Linked DNA regions of Mytilus edulis. The protein of the gene in region 1 interacts with the protein of each later gene in a pairwise test. Links are inferred from orthologs where the notes say so. Each region holds a gene or a part of one and is shown in the gene's direction. Other genes may lie near its edges.

Region 1 (9,878 bases):
ACGGATTTGTTTATATATCTTCTCTAGGGGAAGATAGAATTGTGGTCTTGTTATCAAATTGTAAATCAAGTAGAAAGATACTTTGTAAGGAGGATGGAATCATGGAACTGTATGCCATTGACATCAACATAGAATTGAAAACCATGCTGGTTGCGTGTTGTGTGGATGGAAAGGCTAATGCTTTCATTTTCAACATCTAATCTATGAAATTAAAAAAGATATCGAAAGATTTACTATCATACCAGGATGTTTGTGTATATAAAAATATAATTAGAACGTGTGATTTCAGCTATCTGTAATCTTTATTAGTTAGTTGTTGCATAAATATAAAAAAAACATCTAATCTCCTACAGACACCAAAATACTAAAAAAATAAAACAATGGCAGGGTTAGAAAGGTGGTCTCTAGACTGTAAAGTATATTTCGACACCAAAAGCGCTATTTATTCCAGGCAACCCACAACATCCGATGGAAAAATCAATCAACCATATTACTCCTACAAGACTCTATTTAATAGAAGTAAACATAACCACATATCTTGGAGTTGAACTTGGCAATAAACTAATTAAACTAGAATCAACACATCACAAAAACGTAAATAAGGCCACCTTATAACGTTATTATATATAACGAAATTTACCCAATTGTCCGCAAAACATCAAGACCAAGTATATTTGGTACTAGTTAAACCACCTCTTGAATACAACAGCTCGGTAAGGGAACCCACTGGAAAAAGGATGTACATAGAACAAAGATGGCACAACACCATGCAGCGAGATTCGTACCAAGCATCTATCAATACCGAATTAGGACCTAGGATAAACATCATGTGACAGTCATACTAAAACTGTCCAACTTAGGGGAAAAGACGACAGCCGTAATGAGGCTAGTCTTATAACATTCCAAACCAGTATGTAACATCAAGTTACAACAGAGTTACTGCAATACTACACTATCTATCGAATACTAGACGACCAAAATACAGTCACTCCATGTAAATAATGTAGCCAAAATACAGCACTGTGGAGTATCAAAACATGGTTTACCCCTTAACAATCAAAGAATGGAATCTTGACAACAGGATTGACACAATTGAAGATCAAGAAAATTTCCAAAAATGAGACTGGTCAAATTTCTATCGAGCAATAGCCATAGACATAACAGCACACCTATACTACCATTGCATGAATTTACGAAGATCTAACAGGAAACTGGCTCGGACGTCGCCCAGTATAAAAAGGTCCGAAACAGACGTCACCATGGACACGGTGTCGTCTGATACGGCAGGTGTCCCCTCATCACCAGACATGACAAACATGACTCATTCAGATCATCGTCCTAGTGACAACAGCAATATTACACATATACAGCCATGTTCAGTTCTCCTTAAAGACATTTTGGTTTTTGATGACACAGTACAACACTGTCGCATTTCGAAATGTGAGACCAAAGGCTGCAAAACTTGTGCAATTTTAATTACAGATGCTGAATTCACTAGCAATTTGACCAAGAAGTCATATGTTACCAGAAGTTACGATGATCTGAATTGTAAATCGATAAATGTCGTCTACGGATTAGAGTGCAACCTTTGCAGATTGGTATACGTCGGTGAAACGAAATGAAGGCTAAACAAACGTATGTGCGGTCATAGATCAGACATAAGCCTCAATGCTAACGACATTCTATACCAGCATTTCAATCAGCCCGGTTATTCCATCGTTTCCATGACAGTTCGCATTATCGAAAAGATATACCATAGCTCTAACAATCCTAATCTTTCAACACTGAACTCTCCGTAGACAAAAAGAGGACTACTGGATTAGACAATTGGACACTGCGACACCTTATGGTTGCAATGACAAAATTGATGGTATAGGTATTTTATCTAGTCCTTCGTGTAACTCTATGAATGTGATGAATATTTTCAACTCGACTCCTCGACGTAGACGCAGTCATGGTCATCGTCATTATACATCACCTTCTCTGCATGATGTATCTATTAATGACTTGCTGCCATTTATACAAAAGCCGTTAGGTATTCATCACATTCGCACGAAACTTTATATTCATTACCCCTTTCAAAACTTCATTCTCTGTTCATTTTATGTTTGGAATCCACTGTTACAAACCCTCATTCAAACCAATACAAAATTACAGCTATAATTTCGGATATTGCAAGTCACAGACTTTTCAAGCCAGTCCGCATTGGCAAAGATGAAAAAGAGAAAAGATCGTTCCTTAATCTTTCCTTTGCCAACAAAGGTATCGATGGCGTCAACTTAGGCAATATCCTTCATCATAAATTAGTTCAATCGAAAATACCTCCTTATTTCAAAGACCAGTCTGTACCAATCATTTCTTATACCTATACCAAACCTATTTCAACTAAAATTACAAACACGTTTCGCAGGATCTCGATATTGACGACTTCAAGTCTAAACCTCCTGATTGCACTTGTGCTAGTTCCCAATTCACATATAATCCTGCTGGTCACGTTATTACCGGTGACCTCAACATTGTTAATAACACTTCTCTACGATGTGATATCGAAAGGTCCGAAATATCGTGACCCTAAATCCATAAATTGGAAATACAACTTTAAAATTTTGATGGATTCAGTTGAGGATTATGCCAGGCAATGGGCTAAGCGCGAGAAGGAAGACGTAGACACTCTTTCCGAATGGATTATGGCAGTGGGGTCGTTGATACAGAATTAAGAAACTGAATGGGTCTATCAATGCCCATGCTACGTCAATCTTTAAAGACCCAAATGTTGCAAAACACCTATCCTACCTCCATGACAAATATGTTGTTGTCCCCGCAGATAAAGCCCCAAACAACATCGTTTTTGTATGTAAAACTCATTACATTAACTGCTTGATAAACGAATTAGGTATTGACAATTCACTTGGAAACTCAACATATACCCCCACGACACTTACCAAAGAGGAAATCCTGAATAATCATAGGTCTGTTCTGTGTTTCTTTGGAATTTCAACCAAAGATGAAGAACTAGATCTGCCATCACTGTATTGGATACCTAAACTACATAAGTGTCCTTACAACAACGGTATATTGCTGGGTCTTCCAAGTGCTCCACAAAACCTCTTTCTAACTTATTAACATCTATTTTATCAGCAATGAAAGACGGGCTTCAAAGTTATTGTGAAACTGCCTATTCTAGAGGGGGCGTGAATCAGATGTGGATACTTAAAAATTCCAAAGATCTTTTAGAGTACATACAATCTAACTCTCTTTCATCTTGTAACAGTATTAAAACATTTGACTTTTCTACTCTGTACACTAGTATTCCACATTCCAAACTAAAAGACAAATTGAAAGAGTTGGTATTGCTTTGCTTCGTAAAAAAGAATGACCAACGTAGATACAAGTATCTTGTCTTAAGGAGGGATAAATCCTACTTTGTAAAGGATCACTCTGATTCGAACAAAAAATTCTCTGAAACTGATATTATCAAGATGCTTGATTTCTTGATTGACAACATATTTGTTACGTTCGGAGGACGTGTTTTCCAACAGACTGTCGGCATTCCAATGGGAACAAACTGTGCCCCTTTACTTGCCGACTTGTTTCTTTATTATTATGAGGCTGACTTCATGCAGGAACTTCTTATGAAGAAAGATAAGAAGTTAGCAATATCCTTTAACTCTACTTTTCGCTATATAGATGATGTTCTTTCACTAAATAATTCAAAATTTGGTGACTATGTGGAACGCATCTATCCAATCGAGCTAGAGATAAAGGATACTACAGATACAGTTAAGTCGGCCTCATATCTTGACTTACATCTAGAAATTGACAATGAGGGTCGGTTGAAAACAAAACTTTACGACAAAAGAGATGATTTCAACTTTCCAATTGTGAACTTTCCATTTCTAAGTAGCAACATTCCAGCAGCACCTGCATACGGGGTATATATCTCCCAATTGATACGATATTCCCGTGCTTGCATTTCCTATCATGATTTTCTTGATAGAGGGTTGCTGCTCACAAGGAAGCTAGTAAACCAAGAGTTCCAAATGGTGAAGTTGAAATCATCCCTTCGTAAATTTTTCGGACGCCATTACGAGTTGGTTGACCGTTATGGAATAACCGTTTCACAAATGATATCGGATATGTTCCTTACGTCGTAACTACATTCCCCTGCCCTTTCATGAATGTGACCTACCGAATTAGACTATTTACCGGATTTGTTATCACACAAGCAACACGACGGGTGCCGCATGTGGAGCAGGATCTGCTTACCCTTCCGGAGCACCTGAGATCACCCCTAGTTTTTTGGTGGGGTTCGTGTTGTTTATTCTTTAGTTTTCTATGTTGTGTCGTGTGTGCTGTTTGTTTGTCTTTTTCATTTTTAGCCATGGCGTTGTCAGTTTGTTTTAGATTTATGAGTTTGGCTGTCCCTTTGGTATCTTTCGTCCCTCTTCTATATAATGAATCCATTCATCATGTTTTTTTTTTAAACTCCACCGATCGAACCGACATCTATTAAAAAAAATGTAAATACACAATGTAAAGTAGTCCTGCAATCAGAATTTGACGGCCCTGATGCGGGATAAATAATCCTTTATTGACTAACGGAAGAAAACGTAGAGTATCGGGGCAACACGAACTTGCCCCACTGAAAACTATACCATGCAGTGATTACAGGTGCTTCGGAAGGGTAAGAATATACTGCTCCACATGTGGCATTTGTCGTGTTGCTGATGTCAGTACAGTCGACTCAGCATACAGTCATTGGACAAAAATGAGTTCCCACTAAAATAAATGTCCTATCATTTCAACTAAACTCAAATATTTAAAAAAAAAAAAAAAGATACCAAATAACTACATGAATACAGTAAAAATGAGTAAGATTTAGACATGTTTAAAGTTTAATTTTTATTTGGCCATGATATTATTCATGCTCATTTTAATTTTATGTCGAGGTGAACACAGAGTAAAAAAATCCCTTGAAAGCCACGGTTTGCTATATTTTCTTTTAAAACCAAGTCTTGATTAAAATCATAAGCAGCTGCAATTAATTGTGTTTAACCCATTAAATAATGAAACCAAAAAATACGGTCAAATAAAACAATAAAACTTCAGACATTTGTACATATTTAATATTGTATATATTTTATAAAACTCGCTCATACGGTAACTTTAATACTTGGTAATATATTTTGAAATATATCGATTTTAGTAAAAAATTATAGGACATTTTTAGAGTGCCACTTTTGTCCTATGCCGTTTTCAACAGTCGAAGCACTCTTTTTTTTTTACCTCAGTGATTAAAACGTTCTAATTAAACATGTTAAAACAATATATATTAGGTAAACTAGAAAATAAAAAATGACGGTCAAGTTCAATCGAAATTCATTTTCCTTCTCCGGACCATGTATAATCTGTAGTAGCATCTTACTATACCTATATTAGGGAATCCTAAAACTGAGTCAACCAATAAAAATGTGTTGTCCATTTTTGGTCATAAATGTTTCAATATTTTGCCAGTTCAAATCAATACTTCTAATAGCACCTTTATCTCAACTCAAAAAAATATATCTCAAATAAAACATTTCAATAAGCATGAGATAGAAAGCATATAGGATCATATGGTATTCAAAATTGGGAAATACCTTTAAAAAACGACAAGTCACGTGATTTCCGGTTTCTTTGTAAACATGGACGGACTTTAAAAACTGAAACTCTGTTTTCATTTAGAAGTAAGTTAAAGGTAAATATATACAAACATGTATTTCTTATTATTCTTACTGATGTTATTCATTTAAAAGTGTTGATACCGTGAACAGAATTCGGTCGAGATGAAGTTGGTCGGCCACTTTCTTTCCGGGGACCAAAGGGACACACCTGATGTTCCGGCGCTGGTCGACCGACAAAAAGTCTCATATTTTGATGTCTATCGTTCTTTATAAGTTCCCTAAAGAATGAAATGGTGTTAAAGTTGGTTCTTGTTTCCTTGTTGCAAGTGGGTGGATGTTTTGTGTTAAGAGACCACAAAAATATCCGAGTTGTTTATGGAGGTACAAACACTAAAACAGGTTGGGCACCTGTCAAAATTAGACACCTTATCAAGCATATCAAAGACGTTGGCTTTCTATAGCACATTGGTTGATACCACTCAGCTAAAATGATCCTTGTATGATTTCAAATGGTGAACAAGTATCACAGAATGCTAAAAGAGATAGCTTTGGAAATAGTTTCCAAAATGATAAGTTACAAGTATCCCTCCTTTTTGCTACATTTTGTATTTACCATTATATCTGAGACTACTTTAACACTATAGTAGTCTCAGCTTATATCCAGCAATACTAAAGGGTGCTGAGCCAATTTCATTTATTAACATGATTAAGATAAATGTAGTATGAAACTGAAATATGAATAAAATGACACAATATTTTCAAACATCAATATGATGAATGTATAGTCTTAAGGTTCATGTGGACCCTATGGCTAAAATGGCCGTATTTTCACCTCAAAATTTACTCTGAGTACAGACAAACCTGCGCATCTGTAAAACATTTCAGGCATAGCATGCCCTAGATAAATGAAAACTTACCAGGATTTTGCCGTGCACTTTTTTCATTCCTCCAGAAGGTGCCAAAATAAACTAAGTTGGGAAACAGGTTTGAGAACTTCCCCACAGGTAAAAATTAAAGTGAGCATTTTTAATTGACATGGACATTAGATGGACAATAGATACCTGACAATAATTGGTTATTTAAACTGTGTACCTGAGTGGACCATATCAAGGTAAACTCAACTGTTTGTTAATTTTATCATCTTCTGCAGAGACGAAAAAAAGTGTACAGCAAAATCCAGTTAAGTTATAAATTTTCTCAATCATACAATGCATTTGAATTCTATTTATCTAGGGCATGCTATGCCTTAAAACTTTTTTAGATGCACAAGTTTGCCTGTACTCAGAGAAAATTTTGAGGTGAAAATACGGCCATTTTAGCCATAGGGTCCACATGAACCTTAAATTTTGAAAAATGCAATTACAAATGTTTTTTTTTAAATAGTAAAATAAATATTTAAATTGAGTTCAAAAGAAATTACAAAAAGAAGAATGGTTTTGTAATTCATCATGTCCATAATTTGATGATTGTTCAAGGTTGGTCATCAAACATGGCATGTCACCACATCATTAAAATAATATGATCTTTCAAAATGTAAAAAGAAATAAACTCTATAGAATGTAACATTCAGTTGAATCAACAAGGAATCATATTTTTATTAATAATGTTCTTATGAAAAAAAGCTCACACTACAGTACTTCGTCATCTAAAAATGATTGGGAGAAGTGACTTGTCCTTTATGTAATTGATAGGGAGAAATGTTGAGTTTTGAAGAGAAGTGACTGTTTGCTTGCAGCGCTACAATGATTATTTTTTTACAAATGCACTATAATGTAAAGGGCCACATGTATCTTAATGTAGATCACAAATTGGTTTTCAAGCAGGAGACTGTGAAGAATTAATTCTTAGGCCATGCATAAAAGATTGTCAATTAAATGTGTAATTAATTATCAAAGGTACCAGGATAATAATTTAATAACCAAACACGCATTTCGTCTACATAAGACTCATCACTGACATTCAGATCAAAATAGTAATAAAGCCCAACAAGTAAAAAGTTAAAGAGCATTGAGTACCCAAAATTCTACAAAAAAAGGTTGTGCCAAATACAGAGCTCTAAGGTAATCTATTCCTGGGGTAAGAACATCCTTAGTTTTTCTAAAAATTCAAAGTTTTCTAACAGGAAATTTATAAAAATGACCATATCATTGATATTAATGTCAACACCAAAGTGCTGAGCCTGACTAGTGGGCTGGTGATACCCTCAGGGATGTAACGTCCACCAGCAGTGGCATCGACCCAGTGGTGTAAATAGTTATCAAAGGTACAAAAATGTACCAGTATTATAATTTAATATGCCCGTCTGGTCTGGGTTTTTCCCCTCCAGGTCAACATATGGTCAAATTTGTCTCATTTAAATTTGATGAAACACATAGACAGCTAAGAACCACAACACAAGGAAGGAGCTCGATTTTAGTTTGTTAGTCATATTGTCCAGGAGCTCTTTTACTGGTCATGCTGATATTTTTAAAGAAAATAATGATTGTGATTTCCACTTCTTCAATACATTGTTGACACTTGACAAGGGACATTGAATGTTTGTAAATACTTAACATTCTTGATTAAAACAAAAAGCTTTCTTAAACCCATGTTTGAATTTTTGATTAACCACTTATTGATTAAATTTTATCATTAAATGGATTTATCAAATATTGAATGTTGAAGTAATATAAACATGATTAACACCATTTTCAACAATAATATAAGCTCTAAATTGTAAAATGGTCTGAAAAATGTTATGAAAAGAAACTAATATTGAATATCAATTACAAATGCATTTATTTGTTTAAACGACAGTGTACATGTAGTATGGTACAGGCTCGTAGCCAGGAATTTCCAGGGGGGGGGTATTTGGACTCACAAACTCGACTTTAACAGTCACAATTCGAACAGAACGTTGACTTTAACAGTGCTTATTTGTTTTCAAGGGGGTTTTTCCAACCCCCCTAGCTACGGGTATGTGGTATTCAATCAACATTGTTTTACATGGTCTTATCATTTCAGGGCCTTTTATAGCTGACTATGCGGTATGGGCTTTGCTCATTGTTGAAGGCCGTATGGTGACCTATAGTTGTTAATGTCTGTGTCATTTTGGTCTATTGTGGATAGTTGTCTCATTGGCAATCATACCACATCTTCTTTCTATGTCATCAAAACAACAAAATAGAAAATATTTACAAAAGTTTTATAAGTTTGGAAAGATCCCTCTTATTATCTGGAATAAGATAAAAGTTTTAGTTTAGACTCCTCATGCAATGATAAAAAACTTGTATTCTTATCAATGAGATACATGTACATGAGGTAAGCTCTTCAGTACAGGATGTACATGTAGGATAAAAATGATTGACATGTCATAACAAGGACACTCAGTTAATAAAAGATAATACATACATGACATATATGTACCAATAATATTCGTACATACTGTATTACTGTACACACACTTTGGATTCATTTATTTTCGTGGGTATAAATTCTTGTGGATTGCTGAAAAGTTCTATTTTTGTAGATATTTAATTTAAGAATGTTTAGTGGTTTTGTCAATCTCTGTATATATAAAGTGTATTGCAAATATGTTATTCGTGTAACATTTGAATTTGTGGTTCACCTGTAACCAGGAAACCCACAAAAATTGGTGTTCAACAAAAATAAATGAATTCACAGTAAACATGTATGTGTATAGTATATTATCAATTTTTATTTTTTTAGAAGAATCATGCCAACACAAGAAAGAATGGATGATGATAATGGAATACGTATGAAGGTTGGATATAGTGGGTAAGTAATCCTATTGGATAAGGGATTATTTCTATAAGACATATATACAGCATTCCAACAACTATATAAAAATCTAAGTAAATTTAAAAAATGAGACAACTCTCCTCAAGAGACCAACATGACACAGAAATTGACAGTTATAGGTCACCGTACAGCCTTCAACAATGAGCAAAGCCCATACCACATAGTCAGCTATCATGATAAATGGACCTGAAATGACAATGTAAAATAATTTAAATGAGAAAACTAGCAGCCTTTTTTATGTACAAAAAATGAACGAAAAACAAATATGAAACACAAAAACAAACCACAACCACTGAATTACAGGTTTCTTACTTGGGACAGGCGCATACAAGTACATACAGCAATGTACAGAATATGGCGGGGTTAAACATGTTAGCGGGATTCAAACCCTTCCCCTAACCTGGATAACTTCAG
Region 2 (9,966 bases), on another chromosome or scaffold:
CATACTGCTTTGGATTTGTTTCTGACATCAAAAGAAGTGTGTCGTTGATCCATCTATCAATATACCAACATTGTAAATAGCGGGTAAAGACATAATGAAAGAGGAGCTGACTAAGACGTGACTGATGATGAATGTTCAGCACAAAAAACGTTGCTCACAGCATAAAATTGTATATAAATAAAATTCTTACTTTTTTCCATAAATGTTGGTCATAAACAATTTTAAACCTTTTTTACAATATAAATAAATTTTCTCACTAAAAAAAAATCCTTTTATTAACAATTATAAATACCAAAATCTATTCAATGTTTAGTTACTAATTTGTAATGGTTTAAAATTAAATCAAATAGTTGTCAGTAAAAGTTTAATAAAGGAACTGTCCAAGGGAGACAACAAAGATAATCTGCCACGGTTTCCTTTATCCAATACACCTCATCGCTATTTAGTCCACAGCATAAAATTGCAATCCGGGAAAAACAGTAGTTTATACAACTTCCTGTTTGGGTCAGGCCGCCGAATATATATAGAGGTCATCAGTAGTGAGCTGAGGGAGGAAAAACTTTAGAAAGCGATCATCAAGAAACTTTGATAGAGTATGATCCACTTTTCGAAATTAAAATTAAAGTAAAAAAATATTTTGTTTGAAGTATTTAGTATAATTTACGGTAGTTTAAACAGGTCTCATTAAAAAGTATCATGCATGGTGAGTTGTTTAAGCAGGTTCCCAGCTAGCTTCAACTGGATGAAAAAGTTGTGTAATTTTAGAACTTATCCTGAATGGAATAAATAGCGATTAGGTGTATTTACTAAGGGAAAATAAGAAGTTAGCAGTGGTACCAGTTTGCATTGGTACCAGTTTGCTTTTAGTAGTACAAACAGACATTGGTACGAGTTTGCAATGGTATGATCATGAGATAACTATAAATTCTATCTTAAAGATGTTTCATTTTTTGAAGTTTGAACAGAAGGAAATTTATATAGTCTTTCTTTTGGTAGAGGAAGCCAGAGTACCCATTGAGAACCACAACCTTTTACAGGAAAACTGCCAACTTAAGAATTAAAAGAAATCTGGTTTGTTATTGTTTAAAACAGACAAATAATGTGAATAAAGTTCAGAAATTATAGTTGAAAAGGTACTGGCATGGTGAAGCAAATTATTTTGTCATGATCACTCATCAGAAATACTTTCATTTTGTTCTAGACTATGCTCTTCAACAAAATTACCTTAAGAACTTTGACTGAATTTGTCTTAGTTGGTTCCGTATTCATAAGTATAGCGTCGATCAGCCAAGGTTTGAGATGCGCTGGTTTTTTTCTTGGCATTTTGGATTTCGTGGAGTGTTTTGGAGAAAGGAGATTATAAGATTCGGACAATGTCGGAAATAGCATGAAATATCCGGCTTTAGAAATAACTCCGTCTCTCTCTTTTTTTACAACTCAAGTCTCTTGGTTAAAAATACGCTCAAAATACACAAAGAAGACGCTCCCGACGATGACTAGGAATTAGAGACGGCTGTGTAATGGTAGTCTCATGTTTTGCTAACTGTGAATGATCTCTTTAAAAATAAAGTCTTTGTTTACAGCTTTTTGACTACCTGTTGAAGATCTCTGAAGATACGAACATGGTTTACTTTTCACAAATTTGACTTGGTGGAGACAGAGACATATTACGTAACGGTACCCAAATTGCACAGAGTACCCAAATTGCAATTATTTAGCAAAAGTAGCAGCGGACATCTTACAAGATTTCCTAGAGACTAAACACTTTGTATTTTTATGATTTGACACTATGCACATCTTTCAATATAGGTGAAAATATTTAGATTTTTACAAAACGTTCACAGTATTTATCAATAAATGAAGTGTTTACTGAAAAAGCAAAATGTACTGAAACGTTGCCATGCAACGTCATCAAAACGTCATCTTTTTAAAATGACCAAATACAATATGTTACAAGTATCCATTTAAATTTTTTTGTTTAGAGTAAGCATGGACTAATATCCAATTGTTCAAAATATTTGAAGAATTTAATCAAAAGCTCTGTTATTAGACTTTTGACAATGCAAATTTAAGCATGGATGCAATTTGGGTACTACTTATTTCAGAATCATTGATGATTTGGAGGTCAGTTTAGACCAATTTTTCTAAGATTCCATATGGATTAAAAATCAAATTGGTGTACCTCCATAATAAAGAAGGATACAGCTACAAAATAAACACAAAATGGACATTTTTTTCTTTATAATAAAAAAACGTAGATGAAAAAACTGTCAAAATAGGTGCAATTTGGGTACTGTCATGTTATACACATAGTGTACATATGTCTCTGGTGGAGAGTTGTCTCATTGGCACTCATACCACATCTTCAGGCTTATATCTATATAAAATTATTCATTTAGATTACTGAGAGTTGCCTAAAATAATTGCATAGCTGTGTATAATTTTGCTAGCTTATAAATGCTTAATTTGTTTACACACCTCAGTGGGGATATGGAGATGAATATTTTATATAATCAACATTGTAAATGGAGACTATTTTAAGTCTCAAGAATTGTAAAGAAACGGCAGATATTGAACTTAGACTGGAGTACATTCTGTCTTTTTAACTAACTGAAATAAATGAATGAACACTATCAAACGGTAATTTGCAAACCATTAGAAGATCAGCTATCTTGTCTTGATTGACGTACTTAAAGTCTTTGTCTTCTGTAATCTGTACATGTGCCCCTATCTGTTCTGTGTTTTTTCAGTATTGTTATTTTTATAACCGTGACGTATTCTGCGTTACTATAACAGTTTATCCCATTGCTGTTAAGTTTCTGTCGCTATCTTCTCCTCTCACATATAGAAAAATAGTATTGAACTTTTATTTTTCAAATAATCATGGCATTATCAAAATTGTTTTTTGCTGTTGTGAAATTTCTCGCGATATGGTTTACGCGTACGTCAATGAGATGGCAACCAAACGAAACGGAAAAAAAGCAAAGACATCTAGAGGTCAATAGACATGTTTTTGAATTTGGGTTTTGATGCTCCCAAGCGTTTTTGTTTTTTTATTATTTATTGTGTATAGCCTAATTTGGGCTTTCTAACCTTTTGATCTAGAGCATTCGACCGTATATCCGTTGTAGGTCATTCTCGAAAAAAAATTGTACAATGGATTCATTGTTATATTTCTCCATTATTCCAACTATTAGGAACTTTCACTGAATATTTAGAATCTAATAGTTTGTGCATCTTCTGTTTTACTGTGAAGTCTTTGTAATTTAGTGCATGCATTTATTTGTTGTCAGTTGTATAAGAAGTTCTCTGCCAAAACTTTTACAAATGAGGAATTTCCATTTCTATCTCTAGAATCTCTGGTATCATTTTGTATTGTGCCATGATCTTCTGTCTTCTTAGCACGGAATCGTCTTGTCTGATTTTCCTGTAACGATTCGTCCATTACTTTTACAACTTAAATAAAGGTCATTTATCAAATTTATTGAAATATGAACATCACGTAAAAGTCATTAAAAGTGCGAGTTTATAAGGATAATTATTACTGAATGCCTAGACTGATCTCCTGGGTAACCACTGTATGTCTCTACTTTACATTTGTATTTTAAATTCATACTATGTATGTTAATTTATTTGTATATGTCTCTATACCATTGTACTTTGGTTTACGAGAATAAAGATTTACGCATATTAAACGATTTTCTTTCAGTTAAAATTACTATGCTATTGAAATTATTGAACCAATGCATGAGTATACGTTTTTTTTTACATTTATTACTGACGAATCTATATCTCAACAAATGATTATGTTAAACAGTAATTGTTGATAGCAAGCTTAATAACTTTCGAGTTTGATACCAAAACGTGACATTGATAAACAATCAACACGGCAGAGCACGCGGAACACATGTAAAACGGCTGTAAGATAATTTGGTGTATTCAAGTTGTTCTTTAAATAAAAATCCTTTTTTTTTTTTTTTACTAATTACCTTCCAGTACAAAAGCCAAACAATGAATCTTGATGACTTTGACAGGTTTTATACTAACTTAATATATATATTAAAAGTAATTTACAATCAAAGTCTAGACCATGTTAGTATTCCTCCAATAGCATAATTTAAACATTTACATTTTTAAAAAGAAACTATTTAATACATTATTTAAAATCTAAGGAAGTTCTGTTTTCATATCTATAATAATTCATTATTTAAAATTACTAAATATAACTTACTTTTTACATACTGGGCATGCGGTATCAAAATGTCATAGAACTAAAACCGCTATATAGTGTATAATATTTTACTAGAGTTTAATTTTTGATCGATTTCGACTATGCCTCGGCCTACAAAGGAACTTTTTAAAAGTGTTGTGTTCACTTTTTGTAAGATATTATTGAGTCATGACCAATGTTTCCTTATTATTTTACACAATTACAGTGCATGCATGAGCTGGAATTGTCTTGGATGGTAATTGCAGCGGCCTACTTTGACTGAACATTGCCACGTGAAAAATCCCAACTTTTGCAAATTTTCGGTTTGAACAGAACAAAGTATCTACCCAATTTTGTCCAAATGTGGGGATATTTTTTTAACGATTATATTAAAACGACATAAACATTACTTTCTAACTTTTCTAGTCATATCTGTATCTGTATCTGTCGTGGATATGTCGTATAGTTACCAAATCTGGCTTTTAAAATACAACGGGAGGGAAGGCGCCGTCCAATTTTATTAAGATCATATTGATCTCTGATTTCGTTATATATGCAGTATAACGAAATCAGAGATCAATATTTTAATTAGATTGGGTATATGTACATGATGTAGTCATGATACCGAAATCAGAGATCAATATTTTAATTAGTTTGGGCGCCGTCGATTTACTGACGTTTCGCGAAGGCAGCTTTAAAGCTCTCTACACTTGTTGCGCGCACAATAGTGTCTTCTAGGTGGTTCCAATTTATTGTTGTGGACACACTGAAGGATGAATTTGAATGTTGCGGTGTTTTACTGGTAGGAATGTCAAAACACCTAGTATTGTTTCTCACTTGTTTTTCAACTAAGTTATTTGCTTGATAATTGTTAAACTTTTTAGCTGCATGTGATGGTTCTTCTTGGTCTTCCTAATTTGAGGAAGTCGTCTGGATCAATAGCAGGAACCAGCACCTCAACCACCTTGTACAAAAATATAAGTGTTTGGCTTGTGCGTTTCAGTTGTAATTCCTGTAGCTCTAATTTTGTAAGCATGTTTGTTATCCAGCCATCTTCTCTAGTTCTGTAATCGTCTGCCATAAATATAGAATGTCAGATCAACTGTATCAAAATATTTTTGTGATCTTGTATTATCATAGCTTCATCGATGACTTTGTTTTATTATTTTAATATGGAAAGTCAATGAATAAATTTCATTTAGAATCGGCACATATGTACAGTCAGAGACATATATACACATGTGTATATATGTCTCTGGTACAGTCAACAATAAATATGAGCTTGAAATAGCTCTTACTACCGACCTAAAAATGAACAGATGATCAAGCATTGTAAATAAGCCTGACAAAACTTCACAAGAGACAAAATGAAAAACTGAAAATAACAACTATGTCAACTATATATGTCATCTTACGACTTTCAACAATAAATAAAGCCCATACCCACAGGCACTTGTTTTCTATCCATGGCAAGATCTACGATGCCTATATACTTGCTCTCTATCCATGGCAAGATCTACTATCCCTTTTCTATCCATGGCAAGATTTACTATCCCTTTTCTATCCATGGCAAGATTTACTATCCCTTTTCTATCCATGGCAAGATCTACTATCCCTATATATCGATAGTAGTCTAGATCTTGCCATGGATAGAAAACAAGTGCCTGTGTCCGATTGTCAGTTTTCTCTACATTTTAAAACAGAGATATTATAAAATTGTATTTATACTAGTAATATGTCTCATTTTTATATCATTTTATCATTCTTATATATACTGCATGACAGGTCTGTCTCTAATTATTTCAACGGCCGATTCAAGTTGTACATAGTTAATTAACTCATCATAGATACCAGGACTAAATTTTGTAAATACATGCGCAAGACGCGCGTTTCGTCTACAAAAGACTCATAACTTATTATATGAATCTTTTATTATTTCAAAGGTTCCCGCCTTGGTGTACTTCAGAAATGCTTGTACATGTTGTATTGTGATTAAACATACTTGAATATTTCTATAAATAAGTCAAACAAACAATGAAAAATACATAGACTTTGCAGTTTGCAGAAAAAAACCCACTGCATATTGTTAATGTAAAAGCTACTGTCTAAAACACGCACCTGTCGTTTTGTTTCGAGATTATACTACACAATTTGTGACGTCAGAGGTAAATGTTCATTCATAAACAACATAACACCAACGGTGTGGAAATAGAAAATAAAAAGTATTAAAAAGCCCTTTGGGCTGTATTTTCATCATGTCACGTTCATCGAAGACTTTTTTGCATCAAGGATACAGTTTGTTAGAAGTCAAATCCAAGGTAACTTTTAGTTTTGGGTATTTCGTTATGACCTGGGTCACACCTGTTCAACAGCTTCATCCAGGTAACAATTTTATTACTTCGACCAAAAAAGCGTTATGACGATTTCGGGTTATTTCTTGCCGAACATTTGCAGTTCTATTTTACATTTATAGGGAATGGAGAATAGGAAAATTTTAACACTAAAATTTTCTAAAAATACACCCTTTTATGACAGGTCATTTGCGAAATTTGCATGCTTGAATACACATGTCACACAATGAGTCATTATTTACATATTTTCTTATCCTGACAAATTTTATGTATTAACAACTATTTCATCAAAATAAAAGATAATGGTAGGGGTGGGGGGATTGCACATAGCATAGAAAAAATGGGACTTAGTGTTGAAAGATCTCATTGATACTGTTTATAATAGTAAAGAAGCATTATATTAATTTTCAGTATTTTTTTTTTTTTAGAGTAAATAAAATTTAGCAAAGTGCTAATTTTTGCATTTTTTTTATGACTATTTTGAGCAAGTTGCAGGGCGCTGCACAAGTATCTGTATAGAAGCATTATATTTATTTTTAGTATTTTTTTTTTTAGAGTAAATAAAATTTAGCAAACAAGTGCTAATTTTTGCATTTTTTTATGACTATTTTGAGCAAGTTGTAGGGCGCTGCATATGTATCTGTATGGTATTTTCAGTCTAGAAACTTTTTAATAGTTTTAAAACAATGCTTCAAGATCTTGTTTTGATTTAATTATCTTCTTTAAAAAAAAAAAGAGGGCCATAATGGGGGTAAGTTCAAGATGAAAGATGGTAGAAAATCTTGCAAAATGATGTTAACATGGTTATGGGTAATTTTTGGTGCATGTATTTGACTATACATAAAATTTACACTGATTATGCGGTATGGGCTTGGCTCATTGTTGAAGGATGTATGGTGATCTATAGCTGTTAATTGTGTCATTTGGTCTCTTGTGAATAGTGAATCATCGGCAATCATACCACATCTTCTTTTTTATACTTTCTTCAAGATTATAAACAAATTTTAGCTGATTTTGACAAATCACCTTATTTTTTTGTTTTCTTTCCAAATTAAAGGTAACAATAATTAGTTGACACCTGGAACAAATCACAATGAAAATATTTTAATGAAACAAGCTAAAAATTACTGTTTGATGCCTGAAGGGACAGGACATTCCTACCCTCTTTAAACTTTTCTTATTGGAGCATCATTGATAAGTCTTCTTTAAACTCAATATGATAATGTTGCACTGTATACTTACTACCTAAACTTTACAGATTTTTTGGGTTCCTCTAGATCTGTGCATATGACGTGTATGATGTACATGAATATTTTCTTTGTTGGGATGAATATGTAAACAAACAACACTGATATTTTGTAAACAAATTTCATATTACATATACACATACCAATATACCATAGATTTCCTATGTATTTTACTATAATTTTATCAATTGTAAAATATTGTCATAGACTGGAACGTTTGACAGAAGGATTATTATTTGATGCAATTATATGTTGTAAACAGTTACATAGTTCTAATGTAAATACATGGTATTCTAGTATACATGTAGATTATATTCAGAGAGAGATTGAAATACCAAATTTTGACCAATCAATTGGTTCTTTATGTCAGTATGTTAAAAATAAACTATGTAAAAGTTTAAATCATTTTGGAATAAACTGAAGTATCAAACAATTAACTCTGAAAAAGGGAAGCTTGGTACTTGTTTTTCTATAAAAAATTGTTTTAAAAAAGAAAAATATTTAGAATTAAAAACCAATTGTTCAAAGAACAATTGAAGGTCTTTCCACAAGTTAAGATCTATTTTATTATCAAAATATTAAAAATCAATCTAAAATGTCAGTTCCTATGGCTTTATAATGTATAAATATGAATTTAAAGCAAAGGCCAAATCTAGAATGTGCAAATTACCTATGACCTTGATCTCAATTTCAAGGTCATAAACCAAGGATCTCAAATCAAAAGACCCTAGGTCTTTATTATATATGGTTAATGAGTTATATCACTTTACTCATAATTCTAAATATAAGATGGGCGAAAACTCCTATTTATTGTTTACGCACTCTGTCAACCAAAATTTATAAGTAACGGCATGTCGTAACTAACAATTTAGTGAAAATAAGATGTTGATATGTTGTAAGGTTTTGAAAATAAGTAAAAATAAGCCAAAATAAAAATTTAGAATATGACCTTGACCTTTGACCTTGACCTTATTTTATTTTTTTGGACCAAGGATCTCAAATCAAAAGACCCTAGGTCTCTATTACTTATGGTTTACCAGTTAGAAATGCATTTCACTTATATCAAATACATGAGGGGGAATAACTGTCATATGGAGTCTCCGGATAGCTTCGGTCGAAACTAAACTACTAATCCTGAAGATGTAACGAGCAATTTGGTAAAATAAATTTGTCGTAATCTTTTACGGTTGCGAAGGAGTAGTGGCCACAAGAAAAACAGTGTTTGGGGAGATAACTCTTACAACGTAAAGTATTTTGTTACGCGGTTGAAAATTTTTAAAGCGTATAAACTATACGATATCATATTCCAAATATCTAAGCGACATCTTTTGAAACATCAACAATACGCAAGAAAAAATTTAGGCGGAAGAAAAAAAAAAAAATAATAATCTGACAGAACAAAATCAATAGGCTAGGTCTTTCCACGGAAAGGTGGAAAGACCTAATTAAAAACTAAGAATTTATCCATGTTTATGTCTTGTAAGATGTTTTATTTCTTTCCTGTTTTTCAACATTTACATTTGGAAAGTTGAAATGTTTTAACTGAATGGGTAAATTTAAATTAATTATGAAAATTGTTAAAATTAGACCAATAACGGAAATTACTGCCCAGTTACAAACAGTACCAGGGGATAATTCATGATGATTTCTTTTTGAGTTATATGTTTCAGCACATGGATATTTGACTGGAACTTTAGCCTGGTAAACGTGTTGTAAATTGTGAAATATAAAACATATTAAAAATGACTCTCTTCTAAAGTCTTTTATTGATATAAAACCTTCTTACTTCTCACTAGACAACACTCCTGTCAGGTTTAATTATTATATATACAACTGTATGTGGATGAAAAATAAAAGTTCCCAAAACATTAACATGGCAGCAATTGCTTTTACAACCTTTAAGGCTTTGATTCAGTTGCAGCTGCTTGTTAACATTAATGTCTAATCTAACACTTTTTGTAATGGAAATGTAAATGTTTTGGATAATATATAGTTTGTTGGACTGTTGAGTTGTTTTTGAAAGAGGCTGTCCAAGTAAATATCAGGCAAATCTTATGATGTGGGTGGCACAACATAATTTTTTTCCCACTGAATTTTTGGTTCCAATGCAATGTTTATGTCATACAAAGGATATATATGTCAAAGATATTTTTGAATC

Evidence for each region.
Region 2: the proteins of protein kinase C iota type-like (region 1) and partitioning defective 6 homolog beta-like interact in a two-hybrid assay, tested with the Drosophila melanogaster proteins (2 studies listed by BioGRID). The link is inferred for Mytilus edulis from reciprocal best matches to the Drosophila melanogaster genes aPKC and par-6.

What each region holds. Positions count from the first base shown.
Region 1 is NC_092356.1:9,159,670-9,169,547, reverse strand, and holds the start of protein kinase C iota type-like, read left to right. Parts: upstream 1-5,803; 5' UTR 5,804-5,997; coding exon 5,998-6,044; intron 6,045-9,371; coding exon 9,372-9,440; intron 9,441-9,878. UniProt on the Drosophila melanogaster protein: Serine/threonine protein kinase which is required for apico-basal cell polarity in the germ line as well as in epithelial and neural precursor cells, for epithelial planar cell polarity and for cell proliferation.
Region 2 is NC_092348.1:80,171,450-80,181,415, forward strand, and holds the start of partitioning defective 6 homolog beta-like, read left to right. Parts: upstream 1-6,343; 5' UTR 6,344-6,465; coding exon 6,466-6,528; intron 6,529-9,966.